2 linked regions of the Alligator mississippiensis genome follow. The protein of the gene in region 1 interacts with the protein of each later gene in a biochemical or structural test. Links are inferred from orthologs where the notes say so. Each region holds a gene or a part of one and is shown on either strand. Other genes may lie near its edges.

Evidence for each region.
Region 2: the proteins of MYO18A (region 1) and GOLPH3 form a complex in vitro, tested with the Homo sapiens proteins (2 studies listed by IntAct). The link is inferred for Alligator mississippiensis from reciprocal best matches to the Homo sapiens genes MYO18A and GOLPH3.

The regions. Positions count from the first base shown.
Region 1 is NC_081837.1:1,347,701-1,357,389, forward strand, and holds the start of MYO18A (unconventional myosin-XVIIIa), read right to left. Parts: upstream 4,383-9,689; 5' UTR 4,308-4,382; coding exon 3,276-4,307; intron 1-3,275.
Region 2 is NC_081826.1:281,529,194-281,538,882, reverse strand, and holds the start of GOLPH3 (Golgi phosphoprotein 3), read right to left. Parts: upstream 4,330-9,689; 5' UTR 4,199-4,329; coding exon 3,980-4,198; intron 1-3,979. UniProt on the Homo sapiens protein: Phosphatidylinositol-4-phosphate-binding protein that links Golgi membranes to the cytoskeleton and may participate in the tensile force required for vesicle budding from the Golgi.

The sequences.
Region 1 (9,689 bases):
CAGACCAGCACCGCCAGGCGAAGCACGAAGCCACGCCGAGACCCCCCGCTCACTGCCCCATGCCGGGGCCACGCTGGCCCCTGCTCCCAGCCCAGACGTGGCACGGCTGGGTGCCAGCCCCACGGAGGAGCCGTGCGGCACACCCAGGGGCAGGGCACCGGCTTCGCCGCCCCACAGACGGGGCGTGATGCACGGCGCAGGAATCCAGCCCGGCTGCAGCCTGGGGCGCCGGGAGGAGGGCAGGCGCGGGCGAGGATGCCGGTGCCGCCCGCCCCACCGATACCGGCATGAGTCTGCAGAGCTGGATGCGCCCTGGGCTGCAGGGCGGGGAGCACCGCGGGTGGCGAAACCCAGAGTGGGGCAGAGCTGCTGCGGGGTCCGGTGCACAGGCAGAGAGGGTCCCACCACCCCCTGCCACCGGCCGCCAGCTCAGCCCCGCAGCTGGTGCCGGAGCCCAGGAGGCAGGCGCTGGCACGATTGCTCCCTGACCTTCACGCCGGGCGCAGCCGCTCTCCTTGCCCCCAGCGCTGCGGAGCAGCTGGGGGAGGCGAGCGATGCCCAGGCAGGCAGAGCAGCCCTGGGGCTGCCGGAAGCTGCTGGGCCCTGGCGCCGGCGCACCCAGGAAGGGCAGCGCCTGGCCCTTTCCATGCCCCCGGGGGTCCCTGCTCCCTGCCCGGGGCTCAGGAATGCGGCACTCGCCGGCTGGACCCTGCTCTCGGCTCGCAGCAAGCATTTCTGCTCCACCAGCAGATTCCTCTCATTCCTCCCCCAGCCCCAGCGAGAGGCCGTGGCTGCACCTTCCCTGGCCTGACACGCGCCGGCTCCCGCCCCGGGCCTGCTGCTCCCGGGCAGAGGACCCCACCTCCGGCCCCGCTCTGGGATCTTAGCGGCTGCAGCACCCAGCAAGCACCCGCGTGCCAAGCCCTGAGCTCTGCAGCCGCCCGCCCTCCGCAGGGCACCCCGACACCTCCCCGGGCGAAAGGGCCAGGTTGGGCCAAAGGGCGCACGGGGTCGCGCGGGGTCTTGCTGGCCCGAGCGCGGCATAGCTGTGGTCTGGAGCGGCGCGGCGCGTTTCTGGCATGCCTCGGCCGGCCGGAGCAGGCCTGCGCACGCCGGGTCCGGCCAGAGGAATGTCCCTGGTAAACAAACCCTCGCAGGCCTGGAGCGGAGCCAGCCCGGCTGGGCCAGGGCCTCGGCCTCGCTGCCATGGCAAGGTCCCGCGGCCACGGCCCCGAGTGGCTCCAGCGTGGCCGCCCTCAGCGCCGGAGACGCTGCCACTCCGGGCGCCAGGCAGACCCGTCCACCTGCCCCGAAGCCGGAGACGAGGTGGGGTGGGGGTGACCCATCCAGGCGCCCCCCTGCCACGTCCCGAGGCAGCTCAGGGCCAGGTGGCAGGGAGCAGGCTGCCCGTGACCGGTCAAGGCCACGCATCCTGCCTCGGTGCCACGGGCCCAGCTGGTTTGATGCAGGATGGACCCCCGACACCCGGCACGGGGGCCACGCTGGGCCCGGCCTGGCATGGTGATGCTGCCCAGACCACGGGCACCTTGGGGAGGATTCCCGGGGGCTCCCAAGCGGCTCCTGCCTTGCCAGCGCTGGATGAAACAGAGCGCGCACACCCCACCCCACCACGCAGTGACCCAAGCACCGCACGGCCTGCACACCTGCACCACAGCGGCACTGCCCTCGTGTGCCCCATGCCCACCGGCTGGTGCTGGCCTGGGATGAGCAGGTGGCCGCAGGGTCTTCACTGTAGGAGCCACGCTTGGCCCCGCACGCACAGCGACAAGTTCCCCCCCCGCCGCTCCGCGCTGAGGAGGGGTTTCCAAAGCAAGCGCCCAAAATATGTAGATCATTTCCTGCTCGACACAGAAAAAGCAGCGTTTTAATTTAAATTAGGAACAGAAACATTCCAGGGAGCCTGGCGGGGCCGGGGGAGCCGGGGCGGAGCTGCCACAGGCCTGCAGGCCCCGCCAAGCCCCGGGGCGGGCGCAGCACCCCAGGCTCTCCCGGGCCCCGGGGCAGTGTGCGAGCCAGCCAGGCGCCAAGGCGGAGCACGCGGGGAGCCCCATGCTGCTCCGGGCCCCACGCGGCAGGAGGGACGGGGCCCTCCACCGACAGCTGCACGCGGACACCGCGCGCGTCCCTCCAGGGCTCTGCACCAGCACCCGTGGCCCAAAGCCCCTCGCTGCCCTGGCACAGCCACCTGCCCCCGAGAGCGGGTGCATGGCCCGGCTGCAGAGGTGCATGCGGGTGAGCCGGTGCCCGCAGGCACCGTCCTCATCAGGGCATCCTGGCCCCTGACTCGGAGCTCCTAGCCCTGCCCTCCCCCGGGGCCGGCACGGCGGGGGGCCAGTTTGTGCCACCTCATTGCACCCGCCAGCACCAGCTCCACTGGCACCAATGCACGGGTGCACAGGCGCTGGGACGTACGAGCCGGGGGGGAAGAGCATGGGGCTGCCTCAGCCTTGCCAGCAGATAAGTAGCGGGGACGGCAGCTCCCTGGCCTTGGCAGCCCCCACGGGTCTCCGGCCTGACCCAGCCAGGCCGTGCTGGGCTCACAAAGGGAGCGCCCGGCACCCCACCTCCCAGACGGCTCCAGCACCAGGGAGTCGAGCCCCTTGCACAGCGGGACTGGATGGCGTCAGACAGATATGCCCCACAGACGGGCTTGGGGACGTGCATGGGGCTGCAGGCACTGCACAGGCCCACACAGATGCATGCACACAGACATTTGCACAGATGGTTTTGCAGCTGGAGGCTGCAGACCCTGAGCCAGGCCGGCCGGCCCGCCGGGACCCCGCCGGTCAGGCCCCGGGTGTCTGCAGCTGCAGACGCGCTCCGGCTCACAGCCACAAACCAGCTCCTGAAACTCCGGCGAGCCTCCCACCACCCGTCCAGGGCAAGCCGGGTCACACCGGGGACCCTGCACCCAGAGGATACGCACCCCAGGTCTCCCGAATGCACCTCGGGCACTGCTGCGCCAGGGAAAAGATGAAGTCTGCCCCTACCCAGGCTTTGGGTCTCTAAATCCCACTTTCCACGGGAGAGACCCAGAAGGCCCCAAGCAGACGCACGAGTTCACCAGCAGCCGGAGCGAGCGACCACGCTGCCGGCAGCGCCAGCCCCGGGCACGGCTTCCAAACCGGCCCCGCGAACCCTCCCTCTGGTTGCGGCTGTGCCCTCGTCACCCACAGCCCCCCCCACCGCCGGTGACGGAGCTCGCGGGGCTCAGGCTGGGCGCGCGGCCGGGCACGGGCACGGCGGGTACTCACGTCGACAGCGGCTCTGCGCGGCCCCGCGCTGCCCCGCAGCCAGCAGCAGCTCAGCTCGCTCAGCTCCAGGATAGGCTGCACCTTCAGCCGCACCGTGTCGCCCGACTGCCGGATCATCTCCACGATCTCGTCCCGGGACTTGCTCTCCACATTGCGGCCGTTGATCTCCACCAGCCGGTCGCCCGGCACCAGCCCCAGCGCCAGGTCCTTGGTGCCGGCGCCCGGCTCGGCGAAGTGCACCACGCGCCGGTACACCTGCCCGTCGGGCGCCCGGTCCAGCAGGGTGGTGCGGCGCAACGAGAAGCCGAAGTCGCCCGTGTTGCGCCGCTGCAGCTCCAGCTCCCGGGGCGCCGCGGGCTGGGGGGGCACCACGGCCGGCAGCCGCAGCTCGGCCGCGAACCGCTTGCCAACGAGCTCGGGCACCCGGGAGCGCGGGGCCAAGGAGGAGGAGGAGGAGGAGGAGGACGGGGGCCGCGGGTGGCCCGGGGGCGCGCCCTGCTTGGCCAGCTGCATCTCCAGCGTCCGGGCCTCCACCTGCGGGGAGGGGGCGGCCGAGTGCTCGGAGGGCGTGGAGGTCTCGGACGCGCTCTCGTCGCGGCTCCGCTGGGAAAAGGAGAAGCGCTTGACGATCATCTGCGAGTTCTGCTTGGCCAGCGAGCCGAACTTGGCGGCCCGCTGCAGCACCGAGCCCTTGAAGTTGCCATCGTCCACCTTGAGGTCGTCGCTGGAGCTGGCCGTGCTGAGCTGGCCCGAGTCCAGCACCACGCTGCCGCGGTGCCCGTCGGCCTCGATGTCGGTGAGGTGCAAGTCGGAGCCGCTGGCCACCTTGATGGGGATGGGGTGGGAGATCTCCAGGCGCGCCCGCGACTCCCGCTTGGAGCCCCGGTTGAGGTTGAAGAAGCCGCGGCGCAGGCTCATCTCTTCCAGGCTCCGCAGCTCGGCCGCCGACATCCGCTCCTTCTTCTCCTTCTTGTCCTTCTTCTCCTTGCGCGACCCATCCCTCTCCTTGTCCTTCTTCATCAGGTTGAACATGGCTGCGGGGCGGCACCCGGGGAGCGCGCGGCTCCACGCGGCAGGAGGCGGATGGCAGCTCCCGTGCCACTGGGGCTCTGCAAGAGACATGCGGGAGACCCCGGGTTAGCAATGGACGGACAGACGGACACCCCCGGCCTCTCCCGGAGCCAGAACCAGCAACCTGGAGCTACCAGCTCGGGCACCCACCCACAAGTGAGGCCCGTCCAGGATGGATCCCAGCAAATGACCCCCTCACGGCCACCCCGAGCAAGCGCCGGAGCAGGATTATGCAGCCTCCGATGGAAGTGCTGCCCGGCCCTGCTGCTACGTCGGGGCGCAGGTCTCGCCCAGCACATCCTCGCGCTCCCGGCTGCACGGGCGCCCTGCAGAGCCATGGCGAGGCCCTGCAGCAAGGGTCTCGCGCCCACTTGCTCAAAAAGCTCCTTGTTCCAGGGAACAGAGGCCTCTGTCAGGGCCTGGTCTGGCCCCATGGTGCCTCCGCGCTTGCCCCTGGGAAAAGGGCGGGTGGGCGCAGGGCAGCAGGGAGGAGCGCGGGACCCCGGCCAGCAATCACCGTCATTAGGACAGCAAGTGGTGGGACCCTGGGAAAGCACGACGCTGCAGGGCGGCTAAAATTAGCTGGAGCCGCGCAGAACCCGTGACGCCCCGAGTGACCTCCAGAACAGTGGCTCTTTCATCCCGGGGCCGCCCCAGTCTGGAGGGAGGCGGGGGGAGAGGCAGGCAGCCACATCCCCGTGCCCATCCCAGCAACGGGGCAAAAGACCTGGCCAGGGACACATCCCCACCTGCCTCCGCTACACAGCTCCTGGCCAGGCCACGAGGGACGGCATGTGCCGGTGCCCCCAGGACCTCGCACATGCGAGGCAAGCGGATGGGCTGGAGGCACCAAGACAGGACGCAGACCCCCGAGCATGGGCACCGGCTGGGCAGCAGCTCCCCGGGCCCGCCCTGCGGCAGAGGCGCCAGGCGGCTCCGCGGGACCGTTTGCTTCCACAAACAAGTCACAACCCGGATGGAGGCCCTGGCAGGACCCCGGCTGCATGTAACTCGCAGGAAGCCAGGCTGCTCCAGCCCACAGTGCCCGGGACAGGCAGGGAAGTGCTCGGGAGCGGTGCTGCTGGCTCTCAGCCCAGGGCCCTTTCAGAGGCCACGTGCCGTGCACCCGCCCTGAGCGAGAGCCCTGGGAAGCAGAGGTCAGCGACGGCCCAGCGGAAAGGGCAGGAGAGCCGGGAGCAACGGCACCATCTCCGGATGCAGGGCAGGGCAGCGGCTTGTCCTGCTCATGCACACAGCACCGCTTGCGTCCATTCTGCAGATGGACACGCTGAGGCCCAGAGGGGGAAGGGGCAGAGCCCGCAGATCCCAGGTGCCTGGCTGCCTGCTCCTCCGCTGCACCGGGCCTATTTCCCTCTGGCTCCCAAGGCCCGGAGGGAGCAGAGCGCTACGGGTGTCAGATCCGCCGGCTCCTACCTGCTCCCCCAGGCCCGGCAGACGCGGGCTGTGCCGCACGCAGGCGACTCCCTCCCGGGCAGGGAGCACGTGGGCGGGGAGGTGGGAACCTGAGTCAGGAGAAAAACCTGCTCCCCTGCCAGGAGCTCCTGGCACCCGGTTTCGCTGCCAGCTGTGCACCCGCCGACGGGACCCAGGGCACCCGGGCCTGGCTGCTGGCAGGAGGAGACTGGGCGCAACGGCTGCAGGCCTGGGCCAACAATCAGGTCCCCATGGAGGCTCCTGCTGGGCACCCGCTACTCCGCAGGAGCTGCCGTGAGTCTGCACCGCAGCAAGTCAGAGCTGCGCCGCGGGCGCTAAGCCCCATCTCGCTGCGACTGGAGCAGCCTGGGCCACGCTGCCGCTTCCTGGGGCATGCCCACGCCACCGTCCTTCGCTCCCAGCCCCCAGGCCAGGACTGTCCCTGCGGAGGGATGGGCACTGACCTGCCCGGAGAGGCAGGGACGGAAGCAGCGGTGCCGGGCACCGGTCCCTTGCACGCGTGTACCTGTGCCCTTTCCCAGCCTGCTTTGCAGCCGGCACTGCTGCTGGCCTCTCCCATACGGCCAGGTGCACCCTGCCACCCGCCTGCAGCCGGCTCCTCCCCGGGGACGTGCTCAGCAGCAGGACACTCCCCTTGGCCCAGCCCGAGGCCGGAGCAGGAAGCACTCGGCAAGGCCCACACACGTCCACACCAGCCCCAGCTTTGCTGCAGCTCCTGGCTCCCAGCCCGTGCCCTGCCAGCCTTGCCCCAGCAGCTGCCCTGCGTTCCTCCCCCTCCTTATCCCAGTCAGGGCCGTGGGACTCGGGCAGGGCAGGCCCCTGGTGCTCCGCAGGCAGGGAAACTGCCAGGCCTCCAAACAGGCGGAGGCAACAACTGTGCCGGGCACGTGCGGCCCTCGCTGCAACCAGCGCCCGCTGCCGGGGGGATAACGAGATGCTGAGCCGCCCCACGTCTCCCACCCGGGACCCTGCTGCAGCAGGCCAGGGGCTGGTGGATGTGCCGCAGTGCCTGGATGGCACAGGCCCTCTCTGCCAGTGCCGACCGCTGCCCACTTCTCTGCCCTCTCGCCGGGTGCCTCAATGCCCCCGGGCACGACCGCAATGAACCCGGGCCTGAGCCCAGCACAAGGCACTGCCCCTCCATGGGCCCAAAGGGTTCAGGCCTTGCCCTCACCAAGGAGACACCCATCCTAGGCCAGATAGGGCACGAGCTGCAAGGGAACAGCAGGGAAGCTGGGGTCTCGACCCAGGGCGGCCCAGCTCCTGCCCCACAAACCGCGGACAGCAGTCAGGGGCACCACCGGCCCTCCAGGAGCCAGGTTTCCCCCGTGCAGGGGGCACAGATGGACCGGGATGCTGGCAGGACAGGCCTCTCCCGCGCACGCTCCATCCCTTTGTGTCCCCGGCAGCAGGGGAGAGCAAGCGCTGCCATCTGCATGGCTAATCAGCCAGACACGCCAATTAACAGCACAGGCCACACACTCCCACCCCAGAGCCAGCCCTTTTCTATACCAGGGCAGCGAGCGGCAGGTGCAGGAGGAGCCCAGGCTCGCTGCCAGGCGGGTGTGCGGACAGACACCGCACAGCACGGGGGGAACCCGTGCCCACCCCACGCAGGGCCACAGAAGGGAGGGGCGGCCGGCCAGGACCACGGCACGCACCAGGCCACAGGCCTCTAGGATGCCACAGCATCCAGCTGCACTGCCAGGCAAGGGCACAGCACCAGGGCTCCCAGAGAGCTGTCACCAGGCCACGGGCTAAGCGTCCCCTGCAAAGCAGCTGGCTGGAAGTACCTACGCCCAGGGCTGCGCGGGAGCCCCGACTCCCTGGGGAAACTGTGTCACAGCCACAAGAAAAGCCTACCTCCAGGAGACGTTGTCCCCAGCGCTCTTGCCGAGCCTGCGGACTGGAGAGACTGTCTTTGGCTGGAGCCAAGCGCTCCCAGCACCCAGCGCCTCTCCCTGCCTCACCCTGCTGTCACGTGGTGCTCACCGGCTCCGAGGCGTATCCGGAGCAGCCGGGCAGGACGGGCGCGATTGCACAGCGCTAGCAGAGAGGAGGGGACAGCAGGCCCCGGCTCTCACCTGGAGCCTGGGAAAAGGCAGCCGGGCCCGCTGCGGGGCCAGGGACATGGGGGGAATGTGGCAGCCCCTGCACCCGTGAGGCCTCCCACCACCCAAGCACCCTGCACACCTGGTGCAGCAACGCGTGGCTCCGGGACGGCAGCAGCACCTGCGTTCCCATTCCCGGGGGCTGCCTCGCCCCCTGCTCCCCCCGCACGGGCTGCCCCGTTCAGCCTGGCAAGAGCCAGCTGGCACGCTGCGCTCGGTAGCCCTGGCGCGCCCCACCTGGCCCAGCCCGGCGCGGCCGGGAAGCTGCTCTTGAGCAACGCAGCCGAAGGCTGGTGGCCACGGGCAGGCGGTGACCTTCGCCCCGGGGAGCACCCCCTTGGCTACGGTGCCCAAGGCTTCGCGGGCACGGACACGGGCTGGCAACAGGCTCGAGCCGGGGCAAACAAGTGGCGGAGCCCCGGGGGCTGGCACCCGTGCGTGCGTGCACAGCACGCGGGCCGGGCCGGCCGGCCGGCATTCCCACGCGGGTCCGCCCCCGCCTCTCCCGCACCAGGCCGGGCCGCCGAGCCCTTGGCGCGGCCGGGCCTGGGCAGAGCGGCGCAGGGAAGTCCCGCACGGGCTCGGCGGGCCCCTGCTGCGGGGCGGGGCGGGGCGGGGCGGGGCGCGGAGGTGCCCACCTGCCCCGGCGCCGCCCCACGCAGGTCCGGGCCGGCGCGGGGCTCGGGGGCTGCAGCGCGGCCGGGCCGGGCCGGGCCGTGGGAGCGCCCCCCGCCCGCTTCCCACGGCCCCGCGCCGCCCCGCCCCGCCCCGCCGCACTCACCGCTCCGCTCCGCTCGGGCCTGCGGGCCCCGCACCGCCCCGCACGCAGCGCCCGCAGCCCCGCGCTCGCACAGGCGCGGAGCCGCCGCCGGGGCGCACCGCCCGCACCGCACCGCACCGCCCCGCCGCACGCCGCACGCAGGGGCGGAGCGGAGCGGCCCGGCCGGGGCGGAGCGCAGCGGAGCGGCTGCCTGGGCCCGGCCCCGATCCCGATCCCGATCCCGATCCCGCCGGGCCCCTCCGCTCCGCTCCGCTCCGCTCCGCACCGCACCGCCGGGCGCCTGCACGGAACGCCCCGCGGGTGGCACCCCACGCACGGCCGCGAGATGCCCCTCCGTGCACGTGCACAGGTGTGACCCCGCACGTACGTGAGACACCCCACTACCCCCAACACACACACACACACGATACCCCCCTCCGTGCACGTGCACAGGTGTGACCCCGCACGTACGTGAGACACCCCGCTACCCCCAACACACACTCGCACACGATACCCCCCTCCGGGCACGTGCACAGGTGTGACCCCGCACGTACGTGAGACACCCCGCTACCCCCAACACACACTCGCACACGATACCCCCCTCCGGGCACGTGCACAGGTGTGACCCCACACGTACGTGAGACACCCCGCTACCCCCAACACACACTCGCACACGATACCCCCCTCCGGGCACGTGCACACAGGGCATACCCTCCTCCACACGTGGACCCGAGATACCCCCAGGCACACGCACATACAAGATACCCCCCTCCAAATGTGCACACACAAGACACCCCACATGTACACACTGGCAGGACACCCCCCTCCATGCATGCACACGTGAGATGCCCCCACATATGCACACAAAATACCCCTCCATACAGGCACTCGGACGAGATGCCGCCACATGCTCGCCCCCACCCCCTGAAGTGCCGCGTCTAACTGGGGACCAGAGGGGAGCAGGGAGCGTGGCAAAGGCAGGGAGACGGGGCTGCACCGCTGGGCCTGGCCCGGCCT
Region 2 (9,689 bases), on another chromosome or scaffold:
AATATTTTTGAAGTTTTCAGTGTTCCTTTGAAGTTTTTAAAGCAGTATGAAGGCAAAAAGCTCCAAGTATTATGGAGACAAAGAGACACAAAATATCCCAAAACAAACACATACAACCCCATCACAAGCCTCGGTAACAGTACAGTACCCCTTATCCATGTCCCCTACCTTAGCCCATCTTTCTGTACGTCTTGTCTTATACTTGGTCAGAGAGCTTACATGTATATTTTCTTGTCTGTAAAGTGCTATTAAGACAGGGGCAGGCAAAATACAGTCCACAAGTTGGATCTGGCCTACCAAGGGATTCTGTCCAGCTCGCTGAGAGTCCCTCAGTCCCAGGCACAGAGGGCAGCCTGGGCCAGGATGCCCAACGATGCCAGACACACCCACCAAGGTAGTGGAGGCAGCTGCTGGCCTCTAAGCCAAAGCCCCAGCACCAAGGCAGCTGCTCCCACCCACCTGCCCCAGCAACTGGAGGGAGCACTGGTGCCCAGCACAGGCTGCAGGGCAGGTCCCATACCAGGCCCCTCGGGACAGGAGCCCAGCAGTGACCAGCTGCATTTGTGGAGATGCTGCTCCCTATTGCCCCTAGTGAGCAGTCTCCAGTGCAGCCCCTGCCCATCACTTGCCACCCAGTATGCCCCAGGCAGCCCTGCCCACACACACCCTCCCCACAGCCCAGGCCCTCCACTGCTCCCTACCTTGGAGCAAGTCTGCCACCTCCTGAGCCCCAACTCATTGCCAAGCTCCCACTTCCACTCTGCCCCTCGCTGCCAACCCCAACTCCTTCTAGCAACACCTGGGTCTGCAAATGGTGCCCACCTGCTCAGGTCTGTCTCCTGGCACCATTCAGACTGGGCTAGTGCTTGGCTCCGCACAATACCAGGGCCCATCTGCATCCGCATCCCAGCTGGGGCCCAGGACGGAGCCATGATCCACTGCCCGCACACCCCTGACCACAGAATTGGCTCCTGTTGCAGGTGTGCGCAGGCAGCAGATCATGGCTCTGCCTCAGGCCCCGGCCAGCATAGGGCTGAGGACAGACAGGGACCAGTAGCAGCAATGGGACAGGCATACAGGGCCAGAGCTGGGATCCTGAGCTAAGCGGTGGCAGCCCACGAAACCCAAACAGTAAGCAGTGGCTTTGCGGCTGACAGAACTGAGCACTGGGAGCTAAAGGGCCCCAGAGAGAGCAGAACGCAAGGGGCTCCCACCAGCGCTGCAATCCTGGCAGGGGCTCGGCTCTTTCTGCAGACACCCCGACTCTCAGCACAGAGCCGAGCATTAGCTCAGCCCGAATGGAGCCAGGAGAAAAACCAAAGCTGGCACCATTTGCAGCCCTGGGTATGGCTGGAAGGAGCCAGGGATGGCAAGAAAGGGCTGAGTGAAAGTGGAGCTTGGAAGCAGGTCAGGGCTTGGGAGCTGCTGCAAGGGTGGGGAGCAGCAGAGGGCCTGGGCCACAGGGAGGGAGAGCAGGGGCTGGGCAGGGCTGCGCAGGGCACATTGGGTGGCAAGTGCCAGGTGGAAGCCACACAACGGGAGACACACTGGAGATGATGTGCAGTAGGGGAGATAGGGAGCAGCAGGTCTGTGAATGGAGCTGGTCACTGCTGGGCTCCAGTCCCACAAACCCGGGGGTCTCCATGGAAACTGGGTAGCCCCATGCAGTCAGGGCACCTGGCCAGGTGGACAAGATGGGGCCACTTAGGGAGCTCTGGTGAGCTGCTGGGGGGTGGGGGGGAAGAGGGGACTCTGACCTAGTCTGCAACGGGCTCCCTGTGTGGCCCAGGGGCCCAAATAATTGCCCACCTCTTTATTAAGATCTGCATTACTAGATTTAACATTAAATATAGGCCTAATCTAAATAACTCTTCTACATAAAGCACTCAGATTATTGGGTATATGCAGCCTTTAAGAATCATTTAACTAAACTAATGTGATGCATGCCAGTACAAACAGGATTTCAGAAATGATTTCAATTAGTATTTTTTTTATATTCTGCAAACGCGTAAAATATGGTAAGTGTTATCCACATACAAAGGAAGACAGTCCCTACCACAAGAGTTTAAAGTCTAAGGAACCAACTCAGCAGACTGAAACACAAGCTTAACCTTACTTCACTGAGACCACTCAGGCCTGTAACATTACGAACATGTGCAAAAATGCTAAGGGCCACGCCACAAGGCCCCAATACTTGCCAAGAGTCAACAGGTTGATCCACATGCAAGTGTGAAGAGTCTACTAATTTTATTGGGACTTCATGCAGATGCAAATATCCATTCAAGGAGTCTGACGGCAAGAACGAGGCCTATCATAAGCCTCCAACAAGAAGTGGATACAGCAAAAAAAAAAAAAACCCAGAATGTCTATACACATGTTAAAGATAAAGAGTATCAACCAAGCTGCTCCTCAACCTACCCACCATTAGTTTGTTTACTACAGTATGGCTTAAATGAAGCCAAGCCAAACTCCTGAAAATCCAATCTCCCATTGATCTTGCTCATGAATGTGTATGATTTTGGGATGCCTTCCCACTCCAAACAAACACCCTAGATCACAGGTCAGGTTCCAGAGTGTGGCACATGAAGACATTTTGCTTGGCACGCCAGCCCTCAAGGCAGATGGCAGAGGAGTCACAAGGGGCCTGATCCTTGTGATAAATCAGCCCCGGCCCCTTCCCCACTGTCTGCCCCAAGGCCTCCACGCACCTGCTGCTGGCAAAAAGCTGGGCAGGGGCTCCAGGGACCCCAGTGCAGCTGCTTGCAGCCTCCTCACTGCCTGCTTCAAGAGCTTGGGCCCCATGGTGGGCAAAAGGGAAGCTGCAAGCAGCTGCACCAGGGTCTGCACTGGCTCGTTGCTGGCAGCGGGTACACAGGCACCTCAGGCCAGACAGCAGGGAGGGGGCCATGCCTGTACTAACACAAGAAGGATCGGGCCCCTTGCAGCTACCCTGGCAATCCAGCCCAGCACTTTACAAGTATATACTGTGGGGTTTTCGGCACTCTGCCCCAAAACATTACTGCCTCCTGCCTTAGAGCCTGCTTTGGGTACCAAGCTCAAGAAACGGAGCAACGCTTTTCATTTCTAGACAGCATTAAAACTGTTGCCTGAAGGAAAGACCTGCACCACTGTTTAACACACCTCCCCCTAATCAGGGCCCCTCCAGGAGACTGGGTTTCCTGCAGGATGCGAGACCCATGTACCTACACCCCTCCCTCCCAGGAGGGAGAAAAAAATAAAGTATGAAAAGAAAGTTAAAAAGGAGAAAAAGACATTTGCAGGCAGGGGATGGACACAGACCCTCTATCTTCAGCCCACCCCAATCAAATCACAACCGGGGCAAACAAAATAACGAACAAACAAGGTGTCGGGGAGAGGACAGACTGGGACACGACCTAGCTGGGTGGCTGTTTCAGACTCGAGTCCCCCTCAGAAACCACCAGCTTTGTTTTCGCTGCTTTTTCCACTGAAGGAAAAAAAACACCAGTCTGCAGAATAGGGGGGGGCAGGCCCAGGGAGAAGCAATCTCAGTGCTAACCTGGGGGCAGCTCCCCGGGGGTGTGGGATAAATCTCAGGGGTAACTTGGGGGGAGCTCCCCGGGGGGGGGTAAATCTCAGGGGTAACTTGGGGGGAGCTCCCGGGGGGGGGGGTAAATCTCAGGGGTAACCTGGCAGGGAGCTCCCCCAGGAGAGGGGGGAGGGGGGAAATCTCAGGGGTGCCCAGGTGGTGGTGGGGTAATCTCAGGAGTAATATGGGGGGAGGGGGGACTCTCAGGGGTAACTGGGGGGGAAGGGGGACTCTCAGGGGTAACTGGGGGGGAAGGGTATAATCTCACGGGTGCCGGGGGCAATCTCGGGCGTCTCAGCAGCGATCCCGGGGCCCCCCCCGACCCCCGGGCAGGACGGGCCCCGGTGGCGCCCCGAGCCGTTTCCCGAGGACCCCCCTCCCCGCGCCGGGCCGGGCCGGGCCGGGCCGCACCTCTCGGTCCTTGAGGCCCAGCAGCAGCACCTCCTCCATGAGCGTGAGCCGCGTCTCCTTGGAGTCGCCCTTCTCGTCGTCGCCCGGCTCGTCCCGGCGGCCCTCGTCCTCGGCGCCCGGCCCGGCCCCGCGCTCCTTGTCGGCGGCGGCGGCGGCGCTGCGGGAGGCCTCGGTGCGGCGCTGCACCAGGCCCGAGCTGCGCTGGGTGAGCGAAGTCATGGCGGCGGCGGCGGCGGCCGGGGGCGAGCGCTGGGCAGCGGCAGGGCGCCGCGGCGGCTCCGCTACGGGCCCCGGGGCAGCGGCGGGCCGGGGGGACGCATGGAGGGCGCGGGCCAGGCCGGCTCCCCCTGTGGCGGCGCCTCGTCCAATATGGCGGCGCGGGCTGATGTCAGCGGAGGATGTGGCAGCGCGGCCGGGGGGGGCCGGAAAGGGCCGCGGCCGCAGGCGCGGGGCAGCCCCGCCAGGGGGAGCGCCCGGGGGTCGGGGCAGGCTGCCTCGGAGCTGCGGCCGGCCTCCGCGGTTGGACACAAGCCTGCGGGACCACAGGGCACTCCTTCAAATACAGATGAAGTGCCCGACCCCTTCAAGAGAAAAATAGGGGGCATAAAGGCGTCTGGTTGCTCATCGATAGAGGACAGAGTCTCAGAAAACCAGGCTGTGCTGTGTGACGGCCACCCTCGACCGCCTGCGTCCCGCTCTGCACGGGGTGGCAGGGTTGACCCACCCCGTGGGAGTACGACCCAGCTGAGGGGAAGGTGGCGGACGCAGGGCCTAGCGGCGGCGGCGGAGAATCCCAAACAGTTTCTAGTGGCGCTAGGACAGGGCGACGCACACGGCTGCACGTGCGCCCCGGTGCGCGGCGCTGCACCCACCACAAAAAGGCACCGTGACACTGTGGGCAGCACCTGCAGGCGGTCGTGGCTTGCCACCGCTGGCGGCGTCTATGTGTGGTCCCCCACCCCTGGTCCCGCTCCCGCCGCCGGGGCCACGAGTCGTTCGTGCGCTACCAGAAGACCGTGTCGCCTGTTGCTAATCTAAGCTCAAATAGGTGTTCAACCCTTGCGTGGAAACGATAAATGTAACAGCACAGGGCTCGCAGGGAGCCGGCACAGCTCTTGTACTTCATCCCAAAGACATTTGCAAGTGCAGCTGCAAAAGGAGAGTGAGCCATTGGGATCTGCATGACATAGGCCACAGGATCTCTCTGAAGTAATTCCTGTTCAAACTACTATCTTCGTTAGACTCGCATCCGATCTCAATTTAAAAATGCCCGCGATAGCAAATCCGTCACAGTTTGGTAGCTTACTCCAGTGGTTAATTACCATTAAAACTTTGCACCTTCGTTTCTATTTTAATGTTGCGTCGCTTCAGATTCCAACAGTTGTTCCTGTTATACTTTATCAGGCCCTCTATTATCAAATTTCTGTTAGGAAAAGTACTTAGCTCTTGCATTCCTCACATAGGTGCAATACAAATACCCCTTGATCTTTCCTTTTTTAAAAGCTAACCAGTTAAAGCTCCTTGACTCTGTGAGGTACCTTTCTTAATCTTCTAATTTTTATGATTATTTTCTGAGCGTTGTCTACCTTAAATTATGAAAGAATTATTATTCCCACAACAAGGGCACCAGTGCCAAATACAGAAAGAATAGAACATCTCAACTCTTACTTGATCTTTCTCTTGTTTATACATCCAAGGATCACAGCAGCTCTTTTGGCCACTTTTTCCACACTGGATGTTCACGTTCAAGCTAATTATCTACCAGCATGGACACAAGTTCTTTTCATAGTTTCATAGTTGGTGGGGTTGGAAGGGACCTGAGCAGATCATCTAGTCCAACCCCCTGCCACGGGCAGGAAAGGATGCTGGGGTCAAACAACCCCAGCTAGGTGGTTGTCTAGCCTCCTTTTGAAGACCCCCAGGGTAGGGGCAAGCACCACTTCCCTTGGAAGTTGGTTCCAGCTCCTAGCTGCCCTGACTGTGAAGTAGCGCCTCGTGATATCTAGTCTGAATCTACTCTCAGCCAACTTATGGCCATTGTTCCTTGTTACTCCCGGTAATGCTCAGGGGAACAGGGACTCTCCCATTGCCTGCTGGTCCCCCCAGTAAGTTTATAGATGGCCACCAGATCCCCTCTCAACCGTCTCTTGTAGAGGCTGAACAGGTTTAGGTCTCATAGCCTTTCCACATAGAGCCTGCCCTGCTGTCCTCTAATCATGCAAGTGACCCTCCTCTGGACCCTCTCCATGTTGTCCACATCCCTCCTGAAGTGCGGCGCTCAAAACTGGACGCAGTACTCCAACTGTGGCCTGACCAATGTCGCACAGAGGGGGAGGATCACCTCCTTGGACCTGCTCGTGATGCATCTGTGGATGCATGACAAGGTGCAGTTAGCCTTCCTGACCACGTCCCCACATTGGCGGCCCGTGTTCATCCACGAATCAATAGTGACACCAGGATCCTTCTCTGCCTCTGTGCTGACAAGAAGGGAGTTCCCCAGCCTGTAGGTATGCTGCTGGTTCTTCCTCCCCAGGTGCAATACCTTGCACTTGTCCGTATTGAAACCCATCCTATTCTCATCCGCCCACCTCTGTAACCTGTCAAGATCTAGTTGTAGCCTGTCCCTCTCTTCTAGTGTGCTCACTTCTCCCCACATCTTAGTGTCATCTGCGAACTTGAACAAGGTGCTTTTCACCCCCTCGTCCAAATTGCCAATGAAGATGTGGAACAGTGCGGGCCCAAGGACCAAGCCCTGGGGAACCCTGCTGCCCACATCTCTCCAGGTCGAAAATGACCCGTCCACCACCACTCTCTGGGTGCGGCTCTCCAGCCAATTTGCGACCCATCTGACTGTGTAGTTGTTGACACCACAGACGCCTAATTTTTTAATGAGGGTGGGGTGAGAGACAGTGTCGAAGGCCTTCCCAAAGTCCAGGAAGACTACGTCCACTGCAACACCTGCGTCCAAGGCTTTTGTGACTTGGTCATAGAAGGCCACCAGGTTGGTCTGACAAGGACCTGCCCTAATGAACCGGTGTTGGTTGCCCCTGCTGGCCCGTCCAAGAGATGTGCGCCTGGATAAGAGTCACTGTTCAGAGTTTCTTAGGATAGACGCCTCTATCCTGTAGCATAACTTACATTTCTAGACATACAACTTTGTATTTGCTCATATTACATATTGTTAGGGACCTACTGAAATCGAGGAAGCAGGTGGCCTATTTCATGGGCCTATCACAAGATAAGTCCTTTATTATTATTTCACAGACAGTGCCCAAAATCATGAATTGAGCAGGTGTCTACAGGTTGTTGCTTGTACTCAGTTTACCAAGTGAGCTAGATCCTTCTATCAGTGACTGTTCCTCTTCATTTTCCACTCTGCCAGTTGTGTAATAATATCAGTCATTTGTATTTGATAGTTTCCTCCAGAGCCATGAAGAAATTATAAATCAGAGAGAGCTAGGAACTGATGCCAGTGGCACCTCATTAGAAACAACCCACTCACTGACTTTTCCCTGTTTTTAATTCATTTTATATATGCATGTTGCTTTTTTAAATCAACTTAATCAAAATATCATTCAGTATCTAGTTAAATATCTTTCAGCAGTCTTTTAGTTTTATCAACCAATCTTATAATCATCAAAAATATATCAGGTTAGTTTGACAGAATATATTTTCTATAAACTTGGAAAATAAACTTGGCATTGTATTACCCTCCTCTAAACCTTTAGGGCATTTTTACACATGCTCTGGGGTTAGGGGAAGGCACTTTAATTAGAGCCATCTAATCAAAGTGCCTGCAACATCTCATGTAGCAGCGTCCCCACACTTCAAAATGGCAGTGGGGGACTGTAACAGGGAACCCTGGCCCTGTTACCAGAAGGCAGGTCGAGGGTTCAGAGGGGAAGGAAAGACCCCAGACGAAAGAGAAGGGGGGGGGGGGTGTATCAGGGAACCCTAGCCCTGTCACCAGAAGACAGGTCCACCCCTTTAAGGCCAGAACTTTCTGGGCACAGACTACTGGTAAGGAGGGGGGTTAAATGCTGAGCCTGGCCAGCTAGTCAGCTGACTGGAAGGGGCAAGCCAGGACTATAAAAACCCCGGGCAGAGTGGCAGTAAGGGCAGCAGCGCATCCCAGAGCTCCATGGAGAGGCTTGGTGAGTGGTCTAAAGGCTGGAGGAGGGGAACTATGGAAGCCCCCGGAGAGACAGCAGCTGATGGTGGGGAGCCGAAGTATGAACCCTTTGTAAATGTAAGCTGGCATACCATACTGCTTTCTTTAATCACATTTTTTTTGGTGGCAGTTATTGCCCACAGGTGGGACTGTTCATATTTCTTCTCACTATTGAATAACACCAGTGGTTTGGGTGAAGCTATTAGGGGAAGGAGGAGGCCTCATCTGGAGGCCCACTACAGAGTGGAGATCCTGGCACCAGTGAGGGCATGGCTTTTTGGGGTGCACAGACCCTGGTGCCAGAAAGCACAATCTTAAGAGGCCAAGGTGGTCTGGTGCACCTGAGGTGCAATTTTGGGGCTTTTTTTATTGGCGGGCTAAGATGATATGAGCTCAGGGCTGTTCCCTGGCTTTGAACTTGCCACCCCCTGGCTGTAGAGCCAGTGGCTGGGCCTCTGGTCCAAGGAGGCTGGGCTTCAGATTAGAGCAGAAAAGAGGGCCATGGGCCCCAAGATGCCAAAAAAAGCTAGAGCCTCAGAGTCAAACCCTGTTTGGTAGGTTTAGACAGGGAAGCCTAGCTAGAGAGAGACTGGGGTCAAGGCCCGTGGAGGTGAAAGGCCCCAACATACGAAATACAATAGGCAGTCTCCCACTCACAAGAACATCGGCATAATAATAAATTTCCTTCAAGACATGGCAGGTGAGTGAAGAGCAGGACATAAGAGCCTTAAAGAGGTCTCCAAGGGCGCCTCATGTAAAGTGCGGATTAACAGGGAAGATGGTGCTGGGGAGGGCAACCTGTTACAGGGACGCTTTAAAGCATGTACAAACTTTAAATCTCCCCCACTGCCATTTTCAAGCACAGGGAAGCTGATACACAAGACACAGAAGCTGGTTAGAGTGCACTAATTAGCATGCTTCAGAAGACTTGATTGATTAATTCATGGAGTCTGCTCCAAAGCACTCTAATTACAACACATCAGAGCAACCTCCCATCACGTGTACTGGCATCCTCATTGTCCAGGAGCATTGTAAACCTATAGGAAAACCTAAAATTATCTGGGTCTTCCCGTTCATGCTATTTAGTTGTTGCTGGAGCATTAACTTTATTCCGATCCTTTGGAACTTCTCTAGGTTTCCAATATTTACTGAAAAGCATAGTTAATGATCAAAAATGTATGTCTTCTAGTTCTTTTTTTTAAAAAGTTCTAAAACCAGGTTAATCTGACCTGCTGATTCTAAACATGTCTGGTTTTAGTAGCTGTTGATTTAATGTCCTTGTGAATTATGATTGGAATGGAAAGTATTCCATCTTTCCATCATAAGATATTATTGGATTATCTGCCTAGTTCCCAGAAACACTTATTTTACTATTATATCCATACAGTAATACCATTATTAGAATTCCTTTTGGTTCCTTATATATTTAAATTACTACTTTTACTCTGCTGGCCATAGATTTCTCCTTGTTTCCTGTCAGTTTTCTATAGTTCCTAGTGTTTTTTACTTATCTGAATCTCTATCAACCACCTCTCTCTT